Drosophila melanogaster: one gene and its partners. The protein of the gene in region 2 interacts with the protein of the main gene of each other region in a pairwise test. Each region holds a gene or a part of one and is shown on either strand. Other genes may lie near its edges.

The links.
Region 1: the proteins of CG7264 (region 2) and CG15646 interact in a two-hybrid assay, tested with the Drosophila melanogaster proteins (one large-scale study listed by BioGRID).
Region 3: the proteins of CG7264 (region 2) and CG31909 interact in a two-hybrid assay, tested with the Drosophila melanogaster proteins (one large-scale study listed by BioGRID).
Region 4: the proteins of CG7264 (region 2) and CG10375 interact in a two-hybrid assay, tested with the Drosophila melanogaster proteins (one large-scale study listed by BioGRID).

What each region holds. Positions count from the first base shown.
Region 1 is NC_004354.4:15,667,335-15,672,778, forward strand, and holds CG15646 (uncharacterized protein), read right to left. Parts: upstream 3,696-5,444; 5' UTR 3,450-3,695; intron 2,464-3,449; exon of another isoform or gene 2,117-2,463; intron 2,002-2,116; 5' UTR 1,961-2,001; coding exon 728-1,960; 3' UTR 551-727; downstream 1-550.
Region 2 is NT_037436.4:11,827,201-11,831,374, reverse strand, and holds CG7264 (uncharacterized protein), read right to left. Parts: upstream 2,346-4,174; 5' UTR 2,186-2,345; intron 2,127-2,185; 5' UTR 1,941-2,126; coding exon 1,815-1,940; intron 1,759-1,814; coding exon 739-1,758; 3' UTR 531-738; downstream 1-530. Other genes in the region: CycA (cyclin A), read left to right, coding at 2,691-2,914, 2,983-3,187, 3,258-3,505, 3,570-3,723.
Region 3 is NT_033779.5:7,255,632-7,258,698, forward strand, and holds CG31909 (uncharacterized protein), read left to right. Parts: upstream 1-1,880; 5' UTR 1,881-1,933; exon of another isoform or gene 1,934-2,006; intron 2,007-2,065; 5' UTR 2,066-2,100; coding exon 2,101-2,484; 3' UTR 2,485-2,567; downstream 2,568-3,067. Other genes in the region: Wnt4 (Wnt oncogene analog 4), read right to left, coding at 373-615, 829-1,056, 1,131-1,629.
Region 4 is NT_033777.3:23,765,670-23,769,484, reverse strand, and holds CG10375 (uncharacterized protein), read right to left. Parts: upstream 1,774-3,815; 5' UTR 1,684-1,773; coding exon 1,615-1,683; intron 1,477-1,614; coding exon 1,156-1,476; intron 1,087-1,155; exon of another isoform or gene 1,029-1,086; coding exon 654-1,028; 3' UTR 501-653; downstream 1-500. Other genes in the region: tst (twister), read left to right, coding at 1-176, 242-445; CG10214 (uncharacterized protein), read left to right, coding at 2,087-2,722; Lsd-1 (lipid storage droplet-1), read right to left, coding at 2,962-3,111, 3,178-3,355, 3,419-3,609, 3,789-3,815.

The DNA of each region.
Region 1 (5,444 bases), on a different chromosome or scaffold from region 2:
AAACCCTCGATACAAGCCGTTGACCGTACAATTTGGTCGATTCTATGCAAATTTATGCAAATGCCCACCGTTTTGTAGCCTGTCGTTTGTCGTTTGTAGTTGTTGGTGGTTCGCCATTTGGTGGTGCACAGGTGCGTGATAAGTGCCGTGTAAAGGACTCGCAGGATATGCCGCAACATTTTTACTACCACAACTGTTACTCCCGCACCCTCTAGCTCAGTGCATATTATCCAGCATATCCTGCCAGCTCGCCGGTTGGAAATGAAAGGTCGACGGTGATGAATTCATGGGCGGAACGTGAGAATCCAGTTTAACTTCAACTCTAGAATATTGCCTCTGAAATATTGCCAAGTAATCCCCACGTAGAAGACAGTTTATCTCTAATTAATGGTTGTACTTATCTAACGCTAACAAGGACCCAATTGCGTTTACGCGGCAAAATGATCTTTACATCCTTTTAAGAATTAAATGTTCATATTTAATGGTAACAAATCGAACTTTCCTTTTTTAGGATATTAGGAATAATAAATTCGCAATTCAACTAGTTTTTCAAATCGGTTTTTTATTTGTCAGAAAAAAAAAGGATTCTTAGGTAATTATAGGATCTGTTTCAACATTCGTATTCCAAGGCAATGCTGCGCTTTTAGCCACTCAAAAAAAAAAAAAAGGTTTAGGTTATAACCAAACAGAAGTCAAAAATCAACATATGGACATGACCCGCATTGGGTCACTTCTCCACGAACAGATCCTCGGCGTAGGAGAAGCTCAGCCGCCGCTTGGTAACCGCCTCCACCCGCCCGCCGCATGATCCCATGGCCACCAGCTCCTCCTCAAAATCGCTGGTCGAGTTGTGCCCACTGTCCGGGCTAATGTGGCGCCTCTTCTGGGCGAACCGCTGGCTGGGCACTGCAGATCCGGACCTGGCCGCTGCGAGCAGCTTCTGCGCCGACTGCCTGACGCTGGAGGAGATCTTGGTGGTGATCTTTCGCTTGCGCCGCACCACCCGCTGCCTGCGCAGCTGCAGGGAATGCCGCTTGGCATCCTGCGATTCGGATTCGGTGGGCACGGGGGAGCGCACCTCCCGCTCCTCGAAGCCCTCCGCTGGCAGGGAATCCCTCCGCGAGGGCGACTTCCAGTACTCGCACAGATCGCTGGCCGGATCGAAGGCGGGGCGGTAGGTGGGCGATGGCGTCTGGGTGGAGCCGTGCCCGTGCCCGTGTCCGTGGCTGCTCCGGAGCACCTGCTGCCTGAGCCTGTGCCGCTGGCGGAGATGCTGCCTGGGCTGGCGGTGCTGATGCTGGTGCTGTTGCTGTCTGGCGTTGGGCAGCACCTTGCGGTTGCTCTCGAGGATGGCATCGATCATACGCTCCAGGGTCACATCGCCCATCTGGCTGGAACTGAGCGTATTCTGTTCGCCGATCGGAGGAGCTGGATGCGGATGGGGATGCGGATGTGGTAGTGGCTTCTGCTCCAGGTAGCGCGGCTTCTCGAAGTAGCTGTCCGGGATGCCCATGCCGCGCAGGGCGATCAGGGAGCCAGGAATGATGGCGGCATTGGGCGAGTACTCCGCCTCGAAGGTGGGCAGTGTGCAGGCGAACTTCAGGGGAACAGCAGCTGCTCCTCCAGTTGCCCCACTAGCGCCACTTGCTCCTCCCGATGGCGGCGTGGCCAGGATGTTGCTGAGGTCCTTGAGCAGTGGTGTGCGAGCATGGAGGCTCAAGGAGCTGGCCGGCAGCGGCGTGGAGGTCAGCTGGTTCTCCTTGCCTGGCGCCACTCCGATCGACTTCCTCTTGAGTTTGCCACGCAGGGCGTGGAACTCGCTGTAGCTGGAGCCCACCACTTCGGCCTTCTGCTCGAGAGATCCTGATCCCGATCCCGATTCCGATCCTGTTTGCGATCCCATGGCCAGCTCCTTGGCCAGATACGAGTTTCGCGGCTGGTTGACAGCCCACTTGAGCATCCTGGCAGCTGCTGTCTGTCGCTCCTGCGGTGCCAAGATATCTGGAAAAGTGGCAAAAAGGATAGGGCTAGTTAGCGATTGTCTATTTGCAAAGCTTCTCAAGCAGAATGGAATTGCAAAAAAAAAAAGCAAAAACAGAGCAAAAACCCGACTAACTTGTAGCGAAACGAGTTTGCACAGGGGCCTGCTTGGGATTTCGCCAAGGATTCGCACAGCTGAACGCCAGCTTCCCGATTTCCGCAAGGAGTTTCTGGTTCCGCATATCCTTGCGAACAATTGAGCCGGCACAAAGAGCCCGGGAACAAAGGAAAAGCGCGCTAAAGCTTCGCGATTTTCTGGGCCTCCGGTTCGCTCCTGTTCGCCATACCAACGCACTGCCCTCCAGCTGCGATTTAGCCCAAGGTTCTGCCTCGCGTATCGTGTGCTCGGGTGGTGTGCCGGCACAGGGAGAAATTATCACCCAAAATCAGGCAGGAATTTGGGGATTTATGCGCAAAAATCGGAATATCTATACATTTTATTTATATTATTTTTTAACTGATTGAACTATTGTTCAAATAATTTCAGAATCTGGGGAATTATTTGGCATCTAAATGGCTTTGTTACAATAAAGAAGATATTAAAATTGGTTCCAGATTTAGTACCCGATTAAATTATAAAAGCAATAAGCTATTCAAATTTCAATAGAAATGAAAAATGTTTACAACATTCTTTACTATAAAAATAAAATATTTAAGCAAAGCCCTTGATAGTCAAATTAGAAATTAGCGGTCCAATATACCATTTCATTAAATTTGCAAATCAATAGAAATTTTGGGAACTAAGTTCGCCAAGAAAGTTACTAATATAATTATTATTCATTTTGAATAGTAAATTTGTTGAGCTGCATGATTTTGAGACTGAAGATTCAAGTGATAAAAAAAGTGTGGCTGGGAGAACATATATATTTTTTGCCGTGTGAACTTGGGCAAAATGGTGGTGCTGCCGGCACACTCTGTTGCCTCGTCCTACTCCCATTCCTCTGCCCCATCCTCCAGTGGTGTCGATCTCCGGCCACTCGAGGAGTGATGGCGATAAGGGGGGATCCGCAGGAGTGAGCGATTTCGCTCATCTACTCGATTCCGGGATATGTACGTGCGTGCTAGCATTTTTGCGCATTTTGCAGCCGCCGCTCTCGTTTTGGTCTGAAGAGCACTCGAGCACTTGGGCCAAGTGGCCCGAGTTCGAAAACCCATTAACCCATAGCCCATTGCCCATATCCCATTGCCCAAGCTCAAAACCAAAACGCAGGAGCTAAAACCCAGCAAAACATAACCCAAAATCGCACGCGCACAATTTATACGTTTTTAGGCGATTTTAATGGGGTGTTTTTAATTAAACCCCGCTGCCCCAGACACTTCTGCTTTAATGCATTTTTAATGCACATTTAGCCCGAAAATATGCACACTGGCTTTTCGTTTTCCATTTCATGCACTTCACTTATCTTTACCTTTTTATTTGTATATATTTTTTTGGAATTTTTCGCGTTCTTCGTTTTTTTTTTTTTGGGGTATCCAAAGTTCAGAAATTGCTTCGTTTCACAATGAAAAATAATATAAAATTTTGTGGTATTTTTTCTTTGCACGTTTAAAAAAAAAATGAAAATAGGCGTAACGAGACGGGTGTTGGGAAATCAAAATTGTAAATTTTGAAATTTATTTCCTGCTCGCGATCGCAGAGAAATACACGTCCTGTCGCTGCAACAGACGAAAAGTGACTAATTCTACCCTCGCACGCAAACGTTGCGTGCTCACCTCGCAGAGCTTGAAACCCGGTCTCACGAGGCACACTGAAAACAAATATGTTGTACTTTGGGACCAGCTATACAAAATATTTTAAATGTATTACAGATTTTTGAATGAGAAGATACCCAACTATTTGAAACAGATTTTGATAACTATTTACGAATTTGTTTTATGCACACATAAAGATAACATTTAGGAATTTTGTATACAAATGAAATATATCCTAAATATATATCATAGTTGATTATTACATATTTTTAGTTCATTTAAAAGTATTGAACTACAGTCTTTTTTGACAGTGTACTAATGGAACCACCACCTTTTCAACAGCACCTTTCAATATTGAAGGTGAGATTGCCGTTCGTTCGCTCTCCCGATTTCTCTCCCCTGTTGACTGCTGAGGAATTTCGGGACTCGGAAAGGACATTCCCTTGGACTGAACTTGAAAACCTAGTGTAGCACCACCACTAGCCCGGCAATTTGAACTCGTCCCACCCCCCGGAGCGGGAGCGATCGGGTTGATATTGAAATCGAATGCTTTGCATTCCAATTCATCTCACATGGCATTTCACTTGGCATTTGTCAAGTTTGGATTTCCATCGTATAATGCTTGACAAATGCTCCGGCTAACGATCGGCATATATAATATTAATGGCCCACAAGGGACCTTCCATTGGGCCATCATCATTTGTGCGATTGATATACATGTTCCGAAATTGATTGAGATTTGATTTTGGGAAGTGTTTGGCAAGATGTCAGGAGTGACTTTTAGAATTATATCCTGCGGATTCGGTAAGTCTGAAAATATATACTATATTTTAATGAGAACTTTAAAAGCAGTTTCCTTATGCAAAATTACTTATCCTTGATGCTTTCGACTTTGATCATTTATGAATTAATCGAATATGTTTAATATTTAAGGCTGCGAAATACCAAATTCAAGGCACTGACAATAGAATCAGTCTAAACAATACGCCATATAGTCTTCCCTAGCCAGATCCAATTATTCCCTGTGTTTCGCATCACCTATTGATCTGCAGATCCTTTTCCATGGCATTTCGCATGATCCTGGGCAAATAAGCCGATCCGAGAGCCTCTGGTCCTTGAAGTGCCTGCCTGTCAATGGATGCCAGCTTTTCACGGCGATCCCAAATCAATCAAAGGATCTGGGTCCTGTGAACACACACAGACACACCAATACCAAACCCCACCCCCTGCCATTGCCCGCCAGGCATATCGAGTGGGAAAGCGGAAGAAAAGGGAAAGCAGTGGAAATCGAAGGAAGAAGGACGAAGGACGAAGGAGCCAGAGGGAAGCTCTGAGCAAATACAAATTCTAAATTATGGCCCATAATTCAGGGCCAGGTTTTAATAATTTTGCGCGCCCCGCCGGCGAAAGTAATGAGAGAAAGCAGAAGCAGAAGGTGAGGGAGCAGAGGAGCTCGCCTAGCCGTGCTAATCCCCGAGCGAACAGCTGTCCGGCCCAAGGATTGTGCATTGTGGGTCCCTATGTGTGATTCCTCGGATTTCCTCAAAACTCGGCCGCTCTGTCCTGGCGCTATCAGTGTGCGGCTTGTGATTCAAGATTACCTTTTCCCTACCCACTTTTCACTTTATCTAGATGTCCTTGCCGCCGCACGTTTCTCCAACGATGGCCAGCGGAATGGGATCCTGCACAGAGAGGAAAAGGATATACATTAG
Region 2 (4,174 bases):
TGGCATTCCCTTCACGCAACGCTGCCTCTTTATGGGTTCATGGGTACACTTATTCCCGCTCGCGGGCACATGTTTGTTGGGCGGGAAGCGAAACGCTTGTCTGTCTGCGTCCGTCTCATCCTTTGTCGTTGTTGTTGACTCTCTTTTTCTCATTCGTCCAAAGTCGTAGAACACTCGGGGTACCAATGGAATTCGACTTGCAGAGGGAGGTTGACTACTATTGTAGTTTGTTTCCTACGTTAGTAAATAAAAGATTAAAAATTAAAATAAGTTTAAAAACTAAAAAAAAAATTAAAACCAAAAAAGTTTTAAAATTGATAAAGAATTTAAAAAACTAGAAAACCAAAACAAATAAAAAAAATTTAAAAATATTTTAAAATCGATAGTTAAATTACAAAACTCGAAAACAACATTAAATAATACAAAACAACAACACAAGGATTAGGTTTTGTCCAGAATGGGCGTATTCTTTATTTTCCCTTGATATTTCAGTTTTTACTAGAGATGGGTTTTTGTCTTTTTTTTTTTTTAAATTTTTAAATATTTGAAATGCTTTGTTTCCAACATGAACATTATAATTTCGTCGTGAAGATTCCCAACAAAGATTGTATTTTTAAAATAGTACAATGTTCTGGACGCCTATGGAAAGTTGCTGCACAAGAAAGTGAGGCAGCTTTCTAATCGCATCCAGCTCATTATTCTCGAATCGTCTTGGTTGGGAACTTCAATACAATCCCACTAACGTGAGTTCTTGTTGAACTGATCGTAAAAGTCATCGGAGACGGCATTGGTTAGGCCCACAAGGGCTTCCTTGCGCTGGCGATCCTGCTCCACGGCCAACTTGGAATTCGCCCGCATCAGCTCATCGAATTCCGCCTTACGTCGGCGATCATCCTCGATTTGGTGAAGGACCAGGGTGCGGTCCATATTAATGGAGTATTGCTCCCACTGTTTGTCCATCATCTGGGCCTCCGTCTTGCGCTGAATAGACAAACGAAGCTGCTGATCTTGTCCAAGACGAAACACGCGAAGTTCTTCGGGCGTCATGCCGCGATACATGAAGGCAATCTTCTTGTTCGGATCGGTGCGCGATTGAGCCACATCCGGATTTTCAGTTAGCATATCGCTGGAGAGCATGTTATAGATCTCGGCCATGTCATCCTCGTACTTTTCACGCTTTTCCCTTTCGCGGTCCAATTGCTTCTGCTTGGCCATGTTGATATTGAACTGACGCACTCGCTGGATGACTTGGTTGCGCATCTGGTGATCAGACTTGGCCATCTCCTGCAGATGCTTGTCTCTGCAACCAACGTTGTCCATCAACACATTATCGGCCTGCTTGCGAGCATCCTCCGCCCTCTTACGCTCCTGCACTTGCTGATCCAGCCAGGCTCTTTGCTGCTCCCGCTGCCGCTGCTTTCTGTCAGAGTTATAGAGGTCCTCGCCTTGAAAGATCTGGGCACTGGACACGCCCAGCGAAATGTCATTGTCGGCGACTCTTGTTGGACGTGCCTTCTTCAAGAAATTCGGATCATTTAGGTCGAATTCGCGGCGCTGCTCCTTGCGCTGATAGCGGCAGCGATAATAGTTAAGATCCGAGTCCACCACACGCTGTTTTTTCTCCAACTCCATTTCCTGGGCCAGGATCAGACGCTTCTGCAGCTGCTCCTGTTCTTCAAATTTCTTGTCGCACTCCATCTGGGCGGTTCGCTGCTTCTTTTTCTCAAGTATTTGGCGATCCAGCATTTCTAGGTCGAGCTGTGAATAGGAATATTCGGCAATGAAGCTCACCCAGTCTGCAGATGCATACTTACCCCGTAAAGACGCTGTTTGGCATTAAAAATGCGCCGCTTCCGCTCATCTTCGTACTGCTCCCGCTTCTGCAGCTTCATCGCCTCGTCGAGATCCTGCTTGGTGCATATACCGATTTTGAGCGTCATTGTGCCGGAGTTAGTTATAAAAGATGTTCAACTGTATTCGAGGTCGATATGTCTGTCTCTTCTTGTTAGTAGGATGTGGATATATGCCTGAGTTGACTTTGTTTGCCCGGTTGCTGGGTGCTTTGTTTATTGTTTGCCTCTACTACTACCTCTGTAACCTACTAGTTACAGACTATTTACATATATCTATAATAATTTCATGGGAGTTAACTGCCTTAATATAAAACAAATGCTGATGTATGTACATATATTCATGTCAATCGAATTCTTTAATTTTTGCAGCTCGAGTCGCTTGACGGTTCCAATAATCGTTAAAGCGACCATAAAATAATCACCTAATGTACATATTGCCCATATATATGTACATATATGTAGGTGTTTGGCAAAGAAATTTAAGTTCGAACTGGGAATTTCGATGCGACTCACGTACTACGAAATAACCAATAAATAAATAAAAATCGGTTAACTCCCTCCCCCAGCTGTTGTTTGCCACTTCTCCTATGGTATTTATACGCTTGATTTGATGACTGTACGGCTTTTTCTCCCGTGAAATTTGTACATTTTTGACACCTTCTTAAGATGAAACTGGGAACGGGTAGTTGGTTGCCAGATTAGAGTGTAGAAAAGGCATAAGCTATATATATGCGAATCCTAACCTAAAGTATTAAAAGTTTGGCTTAGTAATTTTTGTTAGGCCGGGTAATCTAATCGGTTTCTAATCATTTGTTTGCATGTGTTTGCATCTTCCAGAAGAAACATCGCCCCAAGCCACTCTATATGCGCAGACAGAAGGACATTAGCCACAATATGCGCTCCATCCTTATTGATTGGCTGGTTGAGGTTTCCGAGGAGTACAAACTGGACACGGAGACGCTCTATCTCTCGGTCTTTTATCTAGATCGATTTTTGAGCCAAATGGCGGTGGTGCGCTCCAAGTTACAGCTGGTGGGCACGGCAGCTATGTATATTGCCGCGTAAGTATTCTTGATAGTCCGGTAATAATGGTGTGTGTATTCATGGGGTTTATTTTTTTATTTTTCAGAAAATACGAGGAAATCTATCCCCCAGAGGTCGGTGAGTTTGTCTTCCTCACCGACGACAGTTACACCAAGGCGCAGGTGCTACGCATGGAGCAGGTTATCTTGAAGATTCTCTCCTTCGATCTGTGCACACCGACTGCTTACGTCTTCATCAACACCTATGCTGTACTTTGCGACATGCCTGAGAAGCTGAAGTACATGACGCTGGTAAGCTATTGCCAATACAAAAGAAAAAAGAAACAAAGCCGAAACTTAACTTAATGTTTACCTGACACAGTATATTTCCGAGTTGTCGCTCATGGAGGGAGAAACGTACTTGCAATATTTGCCATCACTTATGTCATCCGCTTCAGTCGCACTGGCGCGTCACATTTTGGGCATGGAGATGTGGACGCCAAGGCTGGAGGAGATCACGACTTACAAGCTGGAGGACCTAAAAACGGTTGTGTTGCATCTGTGTCACACCCACAAAACGGCAAAGGAGCTCAACACGCAGGCCATGCGGGAAAAGTACAATAGAGACACGTAAGTCGCAAACACTAGATAGCCGAAGAATGAGCCCGTGTTGACCAAATGTATTTCTTAACAGTTACAAGAAGGTGGCTATGATGGAATCCGTTGAGATGAGCAAGGACGACTTCGATCAGCTCTGTGAGGCTTACAATTGCAAGCAGAAAGAGGATGAGCACCAGCAGCCGGATATTAATACTAAATCGAACGTGAATTTGTTTTATAAGTTTTAAGTGTTTTGAGCCGCTGTCATGGCCAAATTGTATATTAGTTTAGTGTTTCCATGTAACATTATGTAGTTTTAGTTATAAGTGTACACAATGGATCAATTGCAGTTCGGTCGCAGTCAGCCAGTCGTATAAAAGCTTCGCATTGGTTGGCCGATTGACAAGCTCCCGTTGCAAGTGCCGGACAATTTTATATGTAAGCCATATAAAAGATAGTTGCCAAAATATACGCGCTTAACAACATTCGCGTCTGTCCACGGTGAGAGCTTGTCATGCCAAGCGGGAGCAGTAAGAACTTCGGCAGTCTTAAAAACTATCCGATTAGCCAATTGAAATTGGAGGAAGCCACCGGACACAACATATTAGTGCTGCTTATGCTAACGATATTTTATATTTCAACCTCTTTATGTTAAGTATGTATGTTTTCGTGTTTATAAATTGAACCATACTAACGTAT
Region 3 (3,067 bases), on a different chromosome or scaffold from region 2:
TTTTGAGATTTTTTCTTTGCGACGGTAGCTAATGTTTACTATATATTATATAGTAATTAAATAGATAGATGCATGTATGCGCTTGTGTGTGTCTGTGTGACTGTGTGTGTCTATGCATTTGAGTATGTGTGTGTGTGTGTGTGAGCTGGTGAGTTTGGCCTTTAGCTAAGCCTTAGCTTTCTGATCGATCTCTATCGTTCTGCATTCGTTCTTTTTGCTTATCATTTCAGTAATATTTGTTAGGAATGGAAAAAAATTACAAGCCATAAAGGTAGAAAAAAACTTTACAAATTACATTTTCAAAGAGCACAGTAGAGGGATAGAAAGTGACGGAGACGGGGCAAAGAAAGTCTGCGAGAGATGGCACCCCGTCTATTTACAAAAGTATTTGTTCTCCAGCCGCTGGCAGTAGTCGCAGATCAGCTGACAGCACCGTCCATTGTTGAACCGGCACCGGCACTTCTCCACCTGCTTAACCACCTGGGTGGTGTAGCCACGCCCACAGCACAGGGTGCCACAGTTGTCCGGATGCAGGCACTGCCGATCCTTGGTGACCGCGCAGTAGGAGGGCGAGGTCTCCAAATAGTACAGCGTGGTGTATTGCGATTGTTGGGGCTGTAAAGGGAAATTACTTATTAGTTTTTTAAGTTTAGGTTCTAAAATATTAACAAAGTCTTTTGTGGTTAAAAGTCTAAACATAAAGATGGACTACCTCGACTATCAGATACCCTTTTCTCCATAGAAACCAATTCCCGTTATAGATCTACCTTTTCGAATGTATTCTACATATAATTCTACATCTACTCTACTTTTCTTTGAAGAACTTACTTTCTTGCGTCGCTGCTTTGGTTTTTTCATGCGACTCGATGACACCTGTCGCATTGATCGCTGGTTTGGCGCCTTGCGAATGGCCTCGTTGTACTTTTGCCTCAAGAGCGTGGCTGTGGCATTGAAGTCGGCCATCTTCTTCCAGCAAGTTTTCATCGAACAGGAGCCGGAGACGCCGTGGCACTTGCACTTGTCCATCATCTGCGAGGAGACAGCTTCGATGCCGACCTGAAAAGAAAGTTTAATTAGCACAGGTATTCTATAAAATATCTCCTTCTGCTCCTTAAAATATATCTCTTTACCTCTGAGTCATGTCGCAATATCTCGCTGACCTCGTCACCATCACCACCGCGCAAGTCCAGGAAGCTGCGTGTCACCCGCTTGCCGTGCTTCAGATTGTCATTGCAGCCGCCCCACTGGAAGTCCTGCGCCTCCCTGTTGTGCTTTTTTGGCCCGCAGCTGCACTTGGTCATACGTCCCTCGGCACAGGCCCTGGCTATCGAGTGGGTCATGGCGGCCGCTGTGAGCGCGTGGACGAAGGCAGTCTCCTTGTAGAGCTTCTTGAAGATGTTCCGCTTTCCGCGCGTCTCGATCGAGCAGTTCCAGCGGTCGTAGCGGAACTGTTCCTCGCAGTGGGTGGTGGCCAGACGGCGGGCCTCGCTAAGGGTTCCCGGCAATCCCGTCTCCTTGCGACACTGGTGGTTCTGACGCCGCGTGGCAGGCATGTATCTGCAGGGTCCACCCACTTGGCCCTGCGAAGTGAACACCGCCATCACCGTGTGCTCCGAAATGAAGTGTTCGCTGGCAGACATAAAGTATTCGAAATTTTTCATAAGAAAAGGTAAAGGTATTCTTAAAAGTCCTTTTTAGAGCTATACCACAATTAAATTACGTTTTTATTATAAAAAAGAGAGAATTCTATAGTCGAACTCCCCGACTATTAGAAAGCCCTTACTCAGCTAGTGGGAACGCAAAATTCTTTCTAATCTAGTATGCACTTTTACTCTACGAGTAAGGGAAAATTTCGAACGGAGAGGCAGTTGTGTTAAGTGTCAAGTCCAAATAGACCCTACAGTCAGAAAACTTATATAGTGCGGTGAGTGAGGTGAGTGAGAAAGTGAGGTTCGATCTTAACATAAAAAAATATTTTTCTGATTTTAAACAAAATAAGATTCTTGGTACGTATGAACACAGAATGAACTGACCATTGTTATATCTAAGCTCATATAATTGCCAGACAACAAGGTGCTGTCACCATCACCAACAAAAAAAATGGAACCCTCGTTTTCCAATACTAACAAATCGGAACTTCAGAACCAACTACGAGTAGAGAGAGCTCTGCAAGATAAATATTTAAAAGAATTTTCTTCAATGGCGGATGAGCTAAATCACTTAATTGATGGCACTACTCCCAGCCATATTGAGACTTATGAATATTTGGACACTGTCGACACTGAAAGCGGTCGTTCTCTCGAAGAAGAGAAAAAGTTAACTAACTTTTTCTATAAATTGAAGAGCGATCTACAGAAATTATATAGAGAAATCGTAGAGAACCCAAAATATTTAAACGAAATCAGGGATTCAACTATTATAAGGGACAATATAGATTTACTGGATGAAGTAGACGCTTTTGAAGGTTCGATGAATATGCTTTGACGGACAGGTGGGATTTGAAAAATGTAAAAAAATTCGGGTGTTACTTTATTTTTTATGGTTAAAAAATAATAAAAGAAACAGGTACCCGTTATTCTTTTACTCTACAAGTATAACAGGTATATTGGATTCGGATTTCTATTAAAGCGACACCTATCTTTGGCTTGCAGATGATTTTTACACAGATTTCAGCGCCCAGTGCGCCATCTAGCAGAACTTGTATGAAGCTTTGTGTGCGAGCAATCGGTAAAAATACCGTTTCAAAGAGAATTTAAATTTTGTGCGCCTACTTAGTTAAACCAATATGTCATTTGAACACTTAATAATTAATTAATAATAATAATTAAATTAAATTTATTAAATTAATTAATTAGCAACCACCAACCTTAGGATTGCACAATCGAAATTCTGAACTACAAAGTTTTTACTGCTAATAATAAACCGGCACATGAGAAACTTTTATTTGATTTATCAAAAGTTACAACACACATGCTAGTATGGCCTTCTCTTATCAGTTTTCTAGAAATAGCAGAAGGAATTTCCCTTGAATTGGTTTCCCATGCCATATCTGTTTCCAGTTATTTCG
Region 4 (3,815 bases), on a different chromosome or scaffold from region 2:
CGAAGATGCAGGATAAGCCGGTAATACCAGAGGCGTTGAAGGAGTGCGTGGCGGCATTTGAGCAGATCAACGATACAATTCTTGCCGAGGAGCAGCGCTTTCAGGCAGCCATCGAGACCGATAATCGCCTGAACTTTGGTCTGCTGGAGGTGGTCTACGAGTGGGCTAGAAATAAGGTAAGAAGCCCTGTAGGACGCAATTTTGCCTATCCTCATATCTGTCCATTTAATCCAATTCACAGCCCTTTGCTGAGATTATGAAACTGACGACGGTGCAGGAGGGCATCATTGTTCGCTGCATTCAGCAGCTGAATGAAACGCTGCGTGATGTTAAAACGGCCGCCATTCGGATTGGCAATCCGGGACTGCAGTCGAAGATGGAGGAGGCGTCGGCTGCTATCAAGCGCGATATTGTTTTCACCGCATCCTTGTACACAGAACTGTGATCGAAGGAGATGGTCCAAGCCATCCATTGTAGAAGGAAAGAGGCAAGACGGAAATGTGTTTCTTACATCTATATTTTATGCACGTGTCAATTACAATTCCAAAGGATACTTATAAAAAAAATGTAAAAATATTCATGTGCAACGCGACGCGGTTTGGCGGAGGTGATCTGGCGATAGTGAAGGAGCGGCGCCGCGCTGGGAAGCTATATTATCGCGACTCGGGCTTAAATTTTGGTGGAACCATCATGCCGGTCATATGTTTTTGTTTCTTGGCTTTCTTGGACTTGCCGGCACCCGACTGAAAGTCATGCCAGCTGTTTACTCGGCTCTGGCGCGACTCTTCGAAGTTCTGCTGCCATTCGCGGTCCGCCTTTATCCGCTCCTCCTCCTCGATTTCCGTTTCGCGCTTTCGCTTTCGCTCCTCCTGGTCGCGTTGGTCGAGCTTTTGCCGTCGACGCTCCATGTCGGCAAACAGTTTCATGACCATAACGTAGATGGCGTGCTTGTACTTGGTGGGATCGTCCTCGGGTATTGGCTCAGTGGGCCGACCCTCTTTTTTAAGCTTTTTACGCTTTTCTGCAATCTGAAAGGTAACGAACAAATTAATATAATACAGTACAATAAAGAAAATGTGCCATTGCAATTGGATTTTCAATTATTCTAAAGCCGGACGATCATAGAGCTTAATGCTCCGAGGAACTGGAACTCACCATTTGATCCGTTCGCCCCTTTGCCTCCTCGTACACCTCCAGACACCTTTTGCGCGTGAGTTCGTTTTCGAGGATTTTCCAGGAACGCGACACAATATCGAATGCCATTTGAGCGCGCTCCTGGTTGTCGGGATTCTTGTCTGGATGGACGAGGATTGACAAGGTGCGGTATCGCTTTTTTATATCCGCCAATTCGACCTCGGGCTCGATTTGGAGCACCTCAAACGGATTGAGATTGAAGTACGTTGAACCTGGACGAAGTAAACGATCAATTTGTTGAGAAGGAGTTAAAACTGAATCACGTTTTTCAATTTCTTTCACCTGCAATATAGGCACAAAATCATTTACTAAAGTGTACATAATAACAAGGGTTTAGTTTATTTGGAGCGGCTGCCGTGCAAGGAGCCCGACCCAGTGTAGAATAAAAACTGAGCCTGCGGTTCCGTCCGCCACACTTACTTCTGTGTAGAATTCCTCGAAGTTGTCATGGGAGGTTCCCGGTTGGTCTCTGGCCGACGAGGAGGACATGCTGCAACAATAACGACACCTTTTGCGTTTTCCGTACAACAATTTTTGATAAAAATATCAACTCGACAGAGTGACCGTGCGCGGTTTGTTAGAAATTACCGTTCGCTGTAGTTAAAATGGCTCCAAGTCGTTATCGCATAAAACCTTTAACTTTAATTACAATTACTTTCGACTTTGGTGGATACAAATAAGAATGCTGAACAAATTATTCTGCAATTATTTGGGTATGAACATAATATTCGATTTGTTTTGTTCCTGTAATGACAGGAATCCCCCTTTCAGTGTTGGGCAATGTGCCTGTAGTGTGACCAGTTGTTATCGTAACGATACCATGTTATCAAACACATGGTAAAACCGCCGCATATTTACATTTAGCAAAAAGAAACCTGCGCTACAGCTATATATGCTTGCTCACCTTCGACGCGTCGGATTGTCCCTGAACCGCCAAATTCGGAGCCACATCGCATTCAATTCAAATGACAGAATGAGCAGCACCTGTGGCTTAGACACGGACATCGTGTGGATGGACTTGGAGATGACCGGGCTGGACATTGAAAAGGACAAAATCCTCGAGGTGGCCTGCATCATTACGGACCAGGACCTGAACGTGAAGTCGGAGGGACCATGCTTTGCCATCAACCATCCGCAGGAGGTCTACGACTCGATGAACGAGTGGTGCATGAAACATCATTACAATTCAGGTCTTATTGATCGATGCAAGAGCTCGGATGTGAATCTCGAAGAAGCCTCCAATCTAGTGCTATCCTATCTCGAGAAGAACATACCAAAGCGCGCCTGTCCGCTTGGTGGGAACTCCGTCTACACCGACCGACTATTCATTATGAAATTCATGCCATTGGTAGATGCTTACCTGCATTACCGCATCGTCGATGTGTCCACCATCAAGGAACTGGCCAAGCGATGGCATCCCGCAATTCTGGATTCCGCTCCCAAAAAATCTTTCACGCATCGTAGTCTGGACGACATCCGAGAAAGCATCAAAGAGCTTGCGTATTACAAAGCGAACTTATTTAAATAAATTAAAGCAAGAATTTAAAGCACCCTAGGAATTCTTTCAATACCTAATGCTTTATTGGCAATATGAGTCTATAATAATTTTGGATAAAAGTCCGCGTTGTATTGTTAAGCGTGAAGTTAGGCTTATATTATTGACAAATGCATTATGTTAAAAATAGATGTACAATATCGTTTAGTGTATTTTCCGTATATGCACGGAGAAACAGAAATAAAAATACGATAGCAATAAAGAATTCAATGCTAGTAGACGCCGTTGATGTTATTGTGGGTGGCTGAATAATGGTTCGGATCCTGCCTCCTCCGCGATGACCGGTGGTTGGAATTGCCGCCATCGCTGCCCGTCACCTTCTCGGCCTCCATGCGTCCGGATAGAAAGCTGGCCACGCGCTCCTGTCGAATATATTTAATATATATAATCATCTTCCGTCTGACTGCTAGTATCACATCCTTTCTTACCAGGTAGGCATTGGTCAGGCCCTGAAGGCTACCATAGAACGCCAGCATGCGCTTGAAAAGAGATTCAGCTTCCTCTTTGGAGATGGTTTTAACCTTGTCCAGCCGTGAGATTGTGATGATGCGGTGGTTGATATAGATAATATGGTGGGCAACCTCTGTTGTCGTGTGCGCCAGGTTTCTGTAAGGTTTGGTTCGAAGGGGTTCACATGGAAAGATAAGGATGGAGGCGGGATCTACCAACCTGGGTATGTTGGCTGCCACATGAGCACTGAAGTTCACTAGATGAACCACACGCCTAGCCGATTCGCGGGTCAGTAGCACAATCAACTGCTCCAGAGTGGCGGGCCTCGCTTGATTTTCGGGTTCATCTGCACTGAGATAGACCCACAGTTCCTTGGCCTTTTGAACGGCCTGCTTGGGATCGGTGGCAATCTGTGGAATGGGTTTCGTTTAAAAGTGTTATTTGGGTTACGGTTGTACACCAGAATACAAACAGACATTGCGTAATCATTTCGTAAGTAATTTGAATTGGTTACTGTAATCTTATGGTTTTTTTTTTTACCAAATGATACTCAAAAATTAAAGCAAATAGGTTACTGAATTTTACTGACCAATTCTGCGGCATAGAAGAGCACGTG